Linked DNA regions of Caenorhabditis elegans. Changing the gene in region 1 together with any one later gene gives a genetic interaction. Each region holds a gene or a part of one and is shown in the gene's direction. Other genes may lie near its edges.

Region 1 (6,529 bases):
CGTCGATATTAAATTTCTGGCATCTTTTTTTGAATTTCGAAAACAATTAAATTATTTATATAATTTTCAGGCTCGATTCTGCGATTTTTAGCAAAAAATACGGTACCTCTCGACGCGCCAAATTTTTGATAAATGTAGAAAGCTGTGCGCCTTGACAGAGTACTGTAACTTTAAACTTTGCTGCGGAATTTCCATCGATTTTTTATAGTTTTCCGATAGAAAATATTGATTTATTAAATAACTTGATTAAAACAATGAAAATCCATGAATTTACCTATATAAAATCAAAACAATCCGCAGCAATGCGAGTTACAGTACTCCTTGAAGGCGCAAACAAAACTTTATCGTGTCGAGACCTGGTACCGTATTTTTGGTGCAATATTTTGCGTCCTTTTGCTTAAGAATATCGTTGATTTCAGACAATTTGTTTTAAATGTTTTCTTTGCTTTCTTCAACTTAAATATTTAAAAACTAAAAACTAATTTCCGAAATGCCAAAAAATTCTACCAGTTAGGTCATTGCTCTTATCTCTTCTACAGATCGATCGTCCCCGTTTTTCTCAATTCGATTCTCATCTATATTTTCCTCAATTCTCTCCAAACAATAACAAGAATATTTTCGAAATGAATCACTGTTTGAAAATTCTTGAATCCTTCCTCCCTCATCCGTTTGCATGTTCATTGCCCATTTGACACTCGAGCAGCAGGTGGCCTGTGTCTCTTCACTCTTTTTCGATCTTTTCATTAGGTCAGTGCTCATCATCATCATTAATTACTCTCGAATTCCGAGCCGTAATTATTCTTTACTGTGTGTGTGTGCTCCGTTCTCTCGGAAGTTGCGTAACGAGAGAGTATTACAAAAAAGAGATTAGAGGCATGTTGTACAGTAATCTAAAGATTAGATTCACTTAGATACCGAAATCTACTATTCTTTGTCTTTCTTTGCCACGTTTCTCACTATAATTTCACGATTCATTGATTCGATTTAGCACTTGGAACCAATGTCAACATTACACCATTTCACTTTTTTTGAAAATTCAATGTTTTCTCATCAATTGAAGGTCAATTTATGGACCGAGTCTTCTATTTTGAATTCCAATAAAACCTTCCAAAAAATGTTTATAGAAAATGTTTCGAAGAGAAATCCCTAAATTTAGCCAAAATTTTTAATGTGTCATCTTTGCCAACTGCCGGAAAGTATTTGTGTTGGTTTTCTGATATTTCGAGAAAAAAAAAGATTTTTCGTAAAATATCTAAAATTGTTGGCCATTTTCCTCCGTTTAGAAGAATTTTTTGAAAATGTTTATCCACATCAACAACTCATTAAAAATTTCACTTTTTGTTAATTTTCTAAACATTTTTTTTCGATTTTTTCTGAAAAAGATTTTAGCTATTTACTTAAGTTCGGTTTTTTTTCCAAATTTTGCCAAAAATCATTTTTCTAGAATTTTGTTCTCTCCATTTCACAAACTATTAACTAAATAATGTTGAACTTCTTCTATACATATAACCAAAAAAACTATTTCTTTAATAATTTTTTATATTTTCAGACGAATCCTGCTATGAACTAACACTTGTCAATCTGAAATCTCTTCAAAACTATCAATTACAATGCATCGACATATTCTGATATTATTTTTATTCGGATGCTTATCAGCTGATCAACGACTCTCATCAACTTCAATTTCATCGATGAATGGATTCTCAACAACTCGAAAATGTGAACATATTACAATTCCAATGTGCAAAAATCTGGATTACAATCAAACAGTATTTCCAAATCTTCTCGGACATACAACACAATCTGAAGCTGGTCCAGCAATTGCGCAATTCAATCCATTAATTAAAGTTAAATGCTCAGAAGATATTCGTCTCTTTCTTTGTACTGTCTATGCACCTGTCTGTACAGTACTCGAAAAACCAATTCAACCATGTCGAGAATTGTGTTTATCTGCAAAAAATGGATGCGAGTCATTAATGAAAAAGTTTGGATTTCAATGGCCAGATCAATTGGATTGTAACAAATTCCCAGTAACTGATTTGTGTGTTGGCAAGAATTCCAGCGAGTCGAGCAACTCTAAAAAGTGGGTTTTCTGCATAATTTTATGAATAAGAATTTATAATTGATATATATTTACAACAAAAATTTCAAAAGTACCCAAAACATGAATTAAAGTTTAAATTTACGGGAACCGTTCTAGAATCCTTTTTTTAAATACAGCGAGAAATTAAATTGTAAATTCAGTTAAAATCATCGGTTTTGCATTTAAAGAAAAATAATAATAAATTCAGAATGGCCTGCAAAGACCGAACCTCGTAAGAGTTTTCAAAAAAAAAAAGCTCTCTGAAAATTAAATTTACGGCCGCTGTGATACTGACAAGTTTGGCTGAATTTAAGTATTATTCCGAATTTTTGAGCCCCATAAAAACTCCTACTCCAAAGCGTCAAATAGTTTTTTATCAAAGTTTTTGAATTTAGAAATTTTCCGAAAAAAATGTACATCGAGATTTCTAAATTCTTTGTTTTATCGAACAATAAAACAAGTTTCCGTAGATCGAAATATAAAATATTTCAAGTTACAGAAGTAGTAATGACGTCACATTCGGTGTTTCAACAATTGCCAACGAAGTTGTCCTTTCTCCAAAAAAATGCCCTCATCATATGCATACAACAAGCGGATCTCATTTTTCATTGCCTCTTCTCAGTGGACGCCTTCCTGAATGTTCATTAACATGTGAAGCTGACAATCAAGTACCAATGATGTTTGATGGACGTGTTCGACGAATTCTTCGAATCTGGACAGCAGCATGGTCTGTGGCATGTTTCGTGTGCTCTTTATTCACTCTTGTCACATTTCTTGTTGATTTATCACGATTCGCGTATCCAGTTCGACCGATTTTGTATCTCGCGTTCTGTTATCTAGCAATTTCTACGGTTTATATGATAGGTGAGTTGAATTTTCTGTTTTTTTTAAATCAGATTTTTTAGAAACTAAAAATGTATTTCTACAGGCGTAGTCGGTGAAGATGGATTCGCTTGTGGAACGTATGGATCTACTCCAACAACACTTGTTACGCAAGGAGGAGAAAATGTTGGATGTAGTGCTCTTGCTGTTGTTCATTACTTTTTCTTCATGTCAAGTTGTGCGTGGTGAGTTTTTTCGTTAATTTTTGTATTTTAACGAAAAAAGTACCGTTTTTTGTACCACAAATAGAAAACTGGTTTTGAAAATGTGCATTCGAAAAAAAATCGGCATGTTTTTCTTTTGTTCAAACACATTTTTCAACAAAAAAACGACAACTGAAACATTTTTTTTTTAAAGAACTTTTTGAATATTTTGATAAAAATTTTAATTTTTATAATTTCGAGTGTAATTTTTCAGAAAAAAATTACATTTATGATTTTCGACAATTTTCAGTAACAAAAATCTAAAAAATATTTTTTTTAAACCAAATTTTAAATGAAAAAAACCCCGTTTCCGGAAAATCGGAAAATCAAAAAAAAAATTCAATTTTTATCAAATTTTGTTCATGAAAAAAATGTATTTTTTCTTCAAACAAAAAAAAAACAAAAATCGAAAATTTTTGTTTTCATTGAAAAATCGAAAATCGACACCCAAATTTTTAATCTTGATTTAAACAGCTATCAGCCTTTTTAAAATGATATTTTATATACTAAGTATTCTTTCAGGTGGCTTGTACTGTGTCTAGCCTGGTTCCTGGCGGCAAATCTGAAATGGGGAGCTGAATCAATTGCTGCTCTGTCACCATACTTCCACGCAATGTGCTGGGGAGTTCCAGCAGTTCTCTCGGTTACTGTACTAGTGACAAATTCTGTCGATGGAGATGTATTTACTGGAATCTGTTCAGTTGGAAATTTGAATCCCTCTGCTCTCGTCTATTTCTTTTTCACTCCGATCGTTGTATCGTTGGGTTAGTTTTTTTGTGAATATTATGGTGGGGGAAGACCGAAATTGAATTCGTTTCGTTGTGTGTTCCATCGTTATTTATCTTCGTTTTCTTCTCAGAAATGTTCTATTTGCAGCACTCGGAGCAGTTTTACTCGTTTGTGGAATTTGGTCAATGATCCGTATTCGAAGTTATATTAAACTTCAACACGCCGATGTTGAGAGGAATATCAGTAAATTGGAGAAATTAATGTTGAGGTTCGATATTTCAAATTTTTGAAAATCTTCAAAAGTACCTGAGCTTTTTTAATCAGAAAAGAAATACTTTCGATTTTTGGAAAACGAAAAATTGGAAAAACATGTACAGAAAAAGACGAGCAAACTAGGTTTACTGATGTAGATATATTGATTTCAGTTTGGAAAGTTGATAAATTATTCTAAAACCCGAGAATTCCCTGGAAATCATTTTTTATTTAAAATTCCAAAATTTCAGAAAAAAAAAACGAAAAAATTGGATTTCCTAAGAACCGAACAAAATAAGAAAAACTTAAGAATCGCTTTTCTGATATTCGTTTCATATTATCATACAAATATTATATTTTCAGAATCGGTGCCTTCGCCATAATGTACTCTCTACCAACTGCAATGAATGCTGCAATTATGTGGTATCAGGCAGTAAATATGCCTGCCTGGCTTGAAGGATGGCTTCATCATCGATGTGTTCGACTTCAAGATCGAGAATTATTCGGTTTCACGTATCCAGTTGATGATTGTCCGATGGATCCGAAAGTTGCAGCTCCGGAGATTATTGTTTTTCTTTTAAAGTTAGTTTGAAACTGTGAATCAGTTAAATTTCAATCTGTATAATCTAAATTTGATTTTCTGATTTTTGCGCCAAAAATGCGACATCCGGTTTCGACAAGACGAATGTTTGTTAAATGCAAAAATGTATACGCCTTTAAAGAATACTGTAGTTTCAAACTCTTGTTGCTGCAGAATTTTCATCGCTTCTTGATAAAAAATATTCTTATTTAAATATTAAGCAATTCAAACACAAAAAGCCTAACATAAGAAAAACTATTCATGAAAAATCGATGTAAATTCCGCAGCAACGCGACTTCGAAGTTACAGTACTCTTTAAAGGCGCATATTCGACAAAATTGGATCGTGCCGAGACTGCATAATTTCGCGTCTAGTTAATATGAATTATTTATCTTGATTCGAAACCCCTAAATGTTCTTATTTTCAGATATGTGTCTCAATTGGTTGTTGGTATAACCTGTGCCATTTGGGTTGTCTCTTCAAAAACTCTTTCAAGTTATCACAAGGCTTACCTGGCACTCTCTTCGAGGTCACCTACTGTACCTGCTCATGTTGATCAGGTTAATATGAGGTGATAGTCTCTTCTTGTCATTTTATCCTATTTATATGTATTCTCATTCCTTTTCTCACTTTTTTCCCAACCAACTCAAATGTTTCTTTTTCTTCATTCTTTGTAACTTTTCTGACTTATTCTTATGCTCTCTCTTGCTCATCGGACGGCGCCCATCGGTCCCCTTCCTCTCACAGAATCATTCCCCAGAGCATGATCCATCTCTGTGTCTACACTCTCCTCGTCTACTCGTTGTCTCTCAATGCTTCCTGATTTGAGTTGCGACGAGCACATTTCTAAGAACCGGCTCCCAAAGATGCGCTCTTACATAGCAAAAGAGAGACAACGAGTGGAAAAGATGGTGAAAAATGATATTTTTGAGTGGAATTACATTGAAATCTGACAAAAAGGGCAGAAAGAAGCTTGAGAAAAGTCAAAAAAGAACCCCCTTCAATTCAGGTTACTGTAGATCAGTTCTCTCGCTGCCATTTTTCATGTATCTCGTTTATTCATGTTCTTAAGTTCTGTTGTCACCAGCTCCAGCACAAGGTTCACACACTTTTTTTCACACTTTGAGCACTCCAATCAGGGTAAAACCACTTTCATCCCAGTCTTTGTCTCGAATTTAGAGTTATGAATTTATTACTCATTATTTATGCGGTTGCTTATTTTTCTTCATCCTCAATTTCTTTTTCATCGTATATTCATATATAAATTATACATTATTATTATTGTTTAATTTGTGACACGGCGATTGAAAGAACCTAAAATAAGGATTGCAAAGAAAAACGGATGGTTATGAACTAATAATAAAAGTCATGGAAATCCTTGAGAATTGATTTTGAAAGACAACAAGCGAAACAGACTCCGACCAATTGAATTGCTGCCAAAACTGCACAAATTCCGCCGACCATTGCTCCATTCTTGAGCACCCATTCTGCAATTAAAAAAACAATCAAATTTCCGATAAGCCCAATCATGCTCTATTGAGAAAGTGCAACAGAGCACACTTTGATCTTCTTGGAAAAAAAAGACTAACGTTCGACACTGTGAATGCATCCGGGCTCAAAGAGTGGAGCATTCTCTCGAGCACATCCCTCGATTTCTTCAATGCAACATGAATCAGGAATTGTTGTGAATGTGAGCCAATCGGATGAATTTGTTACTCCACAACATTCAAACAACTAAAATTGAAATTAATTTGAATTTTAAATGCTGTAGTTCTACTTTAATTTTTTTTTTGGAAGTTT
Region 2 (2,776 bases), on another chromosome or scaffold:
GGGTTTATTTTACATTTATGAATAGAACAATAACCTTTAACAAGATTAACATTCTGCATTTGTTGTCATTAAGAAAAGATTATAAACAAAGTTATAGGGTTCATAATAAAATAAATAAAAGATTATGAACAATTCTACATTACGGCTTCTTGAGAACTGAAAAGGATAGCCTGGTTTACATCTCAACGGTAGATGGTCCTGGAATAAATATGCTTGTTTTTTTAAACCCGAACGGTAAAACTAACACTGAGTCGGTTGCAATTGGAAATCATTGAAAATTTTAGAAGCTAGGAGTAAAATTAATATGCAAAATTATAATTATAGTGCATCTCTGAGAGCCCATTTTCTCCTGCCGTTTGACCTTACAAATTACCAATAAGTTAATTAAGGCTGTGTTGCGAACTTTCGTGAAGTTTTTTATTAAGTTTTTCTATAGAATTTATAAAACTTTTATACCTATTTGGAAATTTTTATTTCTTCCTGTGTTTAACAAACGGCGATTCCGACAATTTTTCTGGTTAAAAATAATTGTCGTTTATTTAGAAAATCTGTAACAAAATTTAATACTCAATCAGTTGTTTCCTATTTATTCGTTTCATCCAATGTACTTATCATTAGTATATCAACATGAAGCACTACATGTAATCAGATTTATTTGCTAATAATAATAATCCATCAAAAGTCATCGTCACAATATTGTAGGACAGGAAGAGAAAACTCTTGCCATGACACAAATTGCAACGTATATATCTAAACATTTATCTTCAAAATGTTAGGCTTCAGGATCACGTGAAAAGTCTGGAATAGTATGTTAATCTCAAGCTGAAGATGTAAGAAAACTGCAAGAATTTTAAATGCAAAAAAATTATTACTTAAACTTTCTCATTTCTGAAAGAATTTGGAAGACGTTGACTAATTGTAAGTATACAGAAAATTTGAAAAGCTACAATAGGATAAAACTACAATGTCAGTCATCTTTTCTCCATAAATAGTTTTTAAAAATCTAATTTTCGTATTTTCTGGAACGAATTTGTTTTAGAAAAACGTTTTTAAAAAATTAGTCTCTAATTTTTCTATATCACAGCGGCCGGAATCTAATTTTTCTTAACAACTCTGCAATTATTGTCAAATAATAAATTTCTCACTTACTTTAGACACAATCGTCAGTAGGGAAAAAACATAAAAAAGTTATTGTTTGCATTTTTGATGCAAGCTGCCTTACTTTTGAAAAATGGAGTTGGACTTTAAGAAAAATACGTTTTAATTAATTTTTTTCATTAAACTGATGCGTTTGGTGTAGCCTCCAGAATGACTTCCTAATGGTTTGCAAACTAAAAATCAGACTTTGTTTTGAGATTTTTAAAATTTTTTTTAAATTTTCCATTAAAGTTTTGTTAAACTGTCAAATTCCCAAAAAAATTGAATTTTTGAATAATTTCGAAAATTTCTGCAGGTTCGAACTACCATGTTCCTATTCAAACAATTGGAATACAATTAGAGTATAACAATTTTTGGTCGATTTCCAAATTATTATTGAAGAGTTTTCATTACTTTTTGACTGCAAACCCTTTAAGATGAGCTATATTAAAATTTTTATTTGTTTTGAAACCCACGTATTCAAATGTCGAGCTCATTTAAACCAACTGAACTATTACATATTTTATTATTAAATTTGATGTTACAATTTTCGGCATTTACAAAAACTATATGTTCGTTTTGTTTAGTACACATATTCTTCTCATCTCCCCAGATTAGAATTGCTCAGAACAAAAAACAAACTTTCTTGCAAAAGTAGGAGGAGTCAATTGTTTGAAACCCGAGGCTCCGCCCATGTGAAACTATAAAAGAGTCTTTGATATCCTAGTACAACTAACCAACAAAAATGCACACTACAACTATTCTCATATGCTTTTTCATCTTTCTTGTTCAAGTCTCCACAATGGATGCTCACACTGACAAATACGTCAGAACTCTGTGTGGAAAAACTGCAATCAGAAATATTGCCAACCTTTGCCCGCCAAAGCCAGAAATGAAGGGTATCTGTTCTACCGGAGGTGAGATAAACTTAAACTCAAAAGCCTTGTTTGCAAATAATTATTTTTCTAAATTTTCAGAGTATCCAAGCATCACCGAATACTGTTCCATGGGATTTTCAGACTCTCAGATCAAGTTTATGTGCTGTGATAACCAATGAATGGAGCTTCTCAAATTCAATACATTACATTATTTTTCAATGAATCATATAAAGATAAAGATTGTTCACGTGTTATTGTTGTAAAAGCACAAATTTTTCAGACATAAACCGGAAACTAGAACAATAACATAGCAGCTGATAAACAAGATTGAAATTATTGAGATCTTGTGATCTAGTGGAAAGATCAAAAATCAAAACAGTCTGGAAAAAACACCACTTTCTCACTGACCGTGTCGTTATGTTTTTATAAGAAGCAGCTTAAAGTTGAAGACTTACAGGTGTTAATAATCATACTCGCAAAATTGGAAGTCGTTTTTTTTTTGCAAAAATTTCAGTCAGATTTGGTAAATTGCCAAATTTTCCAAAAATGAGAAATTTTTTGAGTAATTTCGGGTATTGCTACAGGCCTCTAGAATTTTTAAATAAAAACAATTGAAACAGAATTAAAATATTAAACTATGTATTAAACCTCACTAGAAAAAAATGTCGAACTTTTTTTAGATTGTTGAAATTATCTCAAAAAAATTTTTGACAGTGATATTTGGATATTTTTGCACAGTGGTTTTAAACAATATTTCTACA
Region 3 (4,679 bases), on another chromosome or scaffold:
TTACATACCCTGAAGTATTAGACAGTTAGTTAATTACAATCGTGCAATATCAGCTCCAGGCACCCTCTTTTGGTAGCGCTAGATATGTTTGAATTGTCAAAAGTGCTTGCAAAAATGACTTTTTTAACTTTGAGCGGCGCTAACTTGAGGTACGTGAAAGATACAAAAATGTAATCAATTACAATATTAACAAGCACATCAATAACTACATTTGATTAGTTGACCACTTTTTTGTATATGCACTGGTTGCTGAGCTACGATGAGTTTTAGTGGAGCTGGTCCAATTTTTCAAAACTCCTTTCTTTTCACTATATGGCCCGTAACTCCGAAACCAGTTGACCGATCGAAAAATGTTTAACTAATAAAACATTTATCTGTTTATTATAAGCATTTAATAATTTGTAAATTTTGTATGTTACTCATGTTTGCAAAGTTAAAAGCTATCAAAAAAGGTAATACACATAGTTTTGAAAAAATAGGAAAATTGTTCAATAATTGAGTTTTTCTCCCCATAAAAGAAGCGTTGACTAGGAAAAATGAATGCAATTTTTTAGTTAGCAGGTACACATTATTATTCAAAAGTATTTAGAAGTTTATCTAAGAAAAATTTTTTTTCAATTTTTTTCAAAATTTTTTTCGAAATTTTTTACAAATTTCCACATGTTTTCTTAAAGGACGCATATCTTTGCCCGAATGAAGTACATTAAAATATTTTAAATTGGAAAATGTTTATAATAAACAGATAAATGTTTTGTTAGTTGAACATTTTTCGATCGGTCAACTGGTTTCGGAGTTACGGGTCATAAAGTGAAAAGAAAGGAGTTTTGAAAAATTGGGCCAGCTCCACTAAAACTCATCGTAGCTCAGCAACCAGTGCATATACAAAAAAATGATCAACTAATAAAATGTAGCTATTGATGTGTTTGTTAATGTTGTAGTTGATTACATTTTTGTATCTTTTACGTGCCTCCAGTTAGCGCCGCTCAAAGTTAAAAAAGTCATTTTTGCAAGCACTTTTGACAATTCAAACATATCTAGCGCTACCAAAAGAGGGTGCCTGGAGCTGATATTGCACGATTGTAATTAACTAACTGTCTAATACTTCAGGGCATGTAAACTTTTTGGTTTCACAAAGAAATGAAAAAAATCGAAAAAAATTTTTTTTTTCGTTGTCACAGTTTTGAGCTGGAAATATTATTAAAGGCGCCTGATTTGACTGATATTGATAAACTTGTCATTGCTAACAGTCTTCTATATAACTACAAAAAAACATTTGAGAAAAAATCAAAACTGAGAAAAAACGACAAAACTTATTCCTTGACCTAATAGTTTTTTTGACATACAGGCATGATAAAAGTTGGAATAAATGTGGAAATTTTCTATGAAATGAGCAAAATGTGTTGACGGTTTATCTCTCTTACCTTACAATGACTCATAAATTTTCTCATTTTATTTTTCACCTGAAAATCTTGTAAAAAAACGTTTTTCAGCCAGACCCCTCTCCACACGTACTCTATATCGGCTCAACACACACGGAGGAGAGCCACGTGGCAGGGAAAGACGACGGCGCAACGTCGTCGCGTCGCCTTCTTCGCATCTTCTGAATATTTCAGAAGAAGGAGAATTATTGTAGTTGAAGACTTTATTTTTTCCTGGTAACCGGCAAGAAGAGATGGCAAAGGAGTTCCAGTTCAATTGGAAGCCCACTATTATCCCTGAACTTCTTCATGGATCGGTTTTCGATCGATATGATGATGTGAGCTTTTTTTAAAGACCTGATGTAGAGGTGTGCGGCAAATTTGCAGAGAAGGGCAAATTAAAAAAATAATAAAAAGAGATTGTCGAGTTTGCCGTACTCGGCAATTATTGAAAATTGGATATGCTCTACGAATAGATACATGAAAACTGATAAGCTCTCTTTTAATTGTCCCTTTGAAAAATCCGAGTAACGAAAAAAAAAACAAGAACTGCACGAATGCGATGTTGATCATTTTATTATTCTTAAAATCGCTTAAAGGGTCGTGGAGTCAAATTGTTTATTCCTTTTTTTAGTGATCCAAAATTGTCTGAAAACATCGAATTTCATAATGAAACTTCTTTGAAACTTCTCGGAAAAAAAAATTATGGCGCCTCAAAAAATGACAAAAATTAGATTAAAAAAAACGACTTGTCAATGTCGGAGCGGCTGGAAACTAACTTTTTTTGAAATCTCCGTCTCATAGGAGAAAACTGAGTTTTTACCACTTTTTGAATGTAAAAAATAAAAATTTGATCGTTTTTTGAAAAGTTTAGCTGAAAACCAACAAAGTTGTAAATTTTCAATTTTTATATTGCATAGTCGACTCCGTCCTATAAGTAGGGGTTCCATGCAAACGCCTGCGGCGCAGAATCCAAAAAATGTCGGCCGCAACGAACAAACCGGCTTTCGCACTATATGGTATAGATACCAAGCTTTTGACTTATCGCCATAGTGCAGCAATGAGACCCGGCGTGATGCCCTGAAACTGCCCCATGGACGTCTTAAACAATTTCCCTACTGACGATACTTCATTTTTTAACTAAAAAAGGAAACAAGCCAGCAATTTTCCTGAATACTAATCCCATTTCTTCCAATCAGTGATGATGCGTTTTTGACTAGAATTTAGGTTTCTTTGTTTGATAAGAAGAATAAAGAGCATTACAAGAGTTGCTTGTTGCTCCCGATTCACTGATAACAACTGGACGTAAGAATTAAAAAAAGAGACATTTAGAGATAGATAGATATGGCTACTTTTTTAGCTGATTGCATGAAAAAACAACATTTCCACGTGTCAGTGAACAATTTAGGTAATTTCAATATTTCGGAAGAGAACTTTGATAAGAAAATTGCTATATTGAAATTATTGAAAATGAATTGAAATTTTCTTTTTCTGGAAATAAAATTTGCTACAATATTTTCAATTATTTGATTTCTTTGCAGAGAAACTTCAATTTTCAAAAAAAAAGGTATATAAAACACCTGAAAATTTTCTGTTTCTCAAAAAATTATTATACTTTTTTTCAGAAAAAATAGCTTTAAAATATGCCGAAAGTTATCAAAAAGTTAAAATTTCCCTGAAAAATTTACAATTGGACAAACTCATAAAATTCACAATTTTTCTCACAAATTCACTTATTACAGGAAAGTACGTGTCTGGAACTAAATGCTCAAGTTCGAATTGACGAGAACGGTTTCTTTCTCCGGTGGCTGATCGAAGGAAAAGATGCTGTCGTACTCGATATGGGCCAAATATGGGAAGCTCGCACGGGCGGCCTACCCAAAGACGGCCGAATTATGTTCGAATTGGAGCAGCGCGGAGCCAGCGAAACGATAGCTGAACGCACGATATGGATCACGCATGGCCAGGATTTAGTCAATGTTCAGTCGTTTTTTCTTGTCGCCGAAAGTGTCGAGTTGGCAAAAACGTGTAGAGCGGGCATTAATGATATTCTAAAGTCGTCCAGAATACGACACGTGTGTCCAACTACCCAATTGATGAAATAGTGAGTTATTAATTTTATTTACATTTGAAAATAGACATTTTGATTCTACTGAAAACTATTCAAAAATATTCAAAAAATTGGTACACAACCTGAACTCTTAAATAGTATTGCATAAGGTGTCGGCCGCCACTTCTGAGGCGTTATCTGGCACCCACAAGGTGTCGTCTGCTACCGGTGAGGTGTCGGCTGCTACCCATAAAATATTGACTGTTACCCATGAAATATCGGCTGCTACCCATGAAGTGTCGGCTGCTACTTACTTGATTTTCTCAAAAAAATCACCTAAACATCGAATATTTCAGCCATACATGGCTCACCATGAATGTCAACGAACGACGAAAAATCCCGATCAAGTTGATAATCAAAACATTTTCGTCTGGAAAACCTGAAAAAATGGTTCAAAAGTGTCTAAATGACTTGGGTCTTGGAGGCGATAAGGTATGAGTTTTGTTTAAAAAAATGTAATTTAGAACAAAAAAAATTATTATGTATGCCTGTTGTGCTGTGCTCTGAATATTTCTCTATCCTCATTTTTTCCGATTTAATTTTTGATAGGTTTTCTCCGCAAATTTTCCACTTCAGTGCATGGCACACAAACGGCATGTTATAGTAATTTTCCAATTTTCCAAAAGAACGTATATTTCTTGAATTTTGTATACATTTCTGTGTGGTGTTTGTTGTATGTACTGGTCTCCTTTCATTTAGTACACGCCGGCACGGGTCATCAATCGATCGATGGGCAAGAAGTTTCGGAATTTCTACAAGTGCAGTCGGGGACGAAAACGAAAGGTTTGACATGTTGTGAAGCTGGGTTTTTTTTCAGAATTTTTTATTTATCGTGAATGATCTTTTTTGCATGTAGACTTTCTATCTTGAAAAAAAGTGAAAAAAGTTTTTTTTTAAGTCTAAAATTTTCAAATAAATGGTATGTTTCAGGAGCGCGAAGAACTTGACGTCGACATCCTCACCTTTGAAAAATTCCAGAGGCTCTATAACAAGATTTGTCCGAGAACCGAAGTTCAAGAGCTGTTTGTTAAATTGTGAGTTTTTCTTCTCAAAAATAAAATTACTGACTTTTTTGTTGTAATTGCAGATTTCTGATATATTGGAAAATGTATTTTTCAAAAAAAAATTGCCTTAACTAACAGAAAATGTAC

What was found.
Region 2: of mom-5 (region 1) and ins-22, changing one enhances a phenotype caused by changing the other (phenotypic enhancement), as found in Caenorhabditis elegans (one large-scale study listed by BioGRID).
Region 3: of mom-5 (region 1) and egl-8, changing one enhances a phenotype caused by changing the other (phenotypic enhancement), as found in Caenorhabditis elegans (one large-scale study listed by BioGRID).

The regions. Positions count from the first base shown.
Region 1 is NC_003279.8:9,964,031-9,970,559, forward strand, and holds mom-5 (Protein mom-5), read left to right. Parts: upstream 1-1,549; 5' UTR 1,550-1,610; coding exon 1,611-2,083; intron 2,084-2,576; coding exon 2,577-2,947; intron 2,948-3,011; coding exon 3,012-3,150; intron 3,151-3,690; coding exon 3,691-3,932; intron 3,933-4,044; coding exon 4,045-4,165; intron 4,166-4,512; coding exon 4,513-4,731; intron 4,732-5,156; coding exon 5,157-5,304; 3' UTR 5,305-6,007; downstream 6,008-6,529. Other genes in the region: tsp-7 (Tetraspanin), read right to left, coding at 6,083-6,216, 6,319-6,463. UniProt on the Caenorhabditis elegans protein: Receptor for Wnt proteins.
Region 2 is NC_003281.10:10,024,418-10,027,193, forward strand, and holds ins-22 (putative insulin-like peptide alpha-type 2), read left to right. Parts: upstream 1-1,871; 5' UTR 1,872-1,882; coding exon 1,883-2,054; intron 2,055-2,114; coding exon 2,115-2,194; 3' UTR 2,195-2,269; downstream 2,270-2,776.
Region 3 is NC_003283.11:19,335-24,013, forward strand, and holds the start of egl-8 (Phosphoinositide phospholipase C), read left to right. Parts: upstream 1-1,672; coding exon 1,673-1,756; intron 1,757-3,160; coding exon 3,161-3,522; intron 3,523-3,824; coding exon 3,825-3,960; intron 3,961-4,227; coding exon 4,228-4,311; intron 4,312-4,458; coding exon 4,459-4,562; intron 4,563-4,679. UniProt on the Caenorhabditis elegans protein: Mediates the production of the second messenger molecules diacylglycerol (DAG) and inositol 1,4,5-trisphosphate (IP3) which plays an important role in the regulation of intracellular signaling cascades.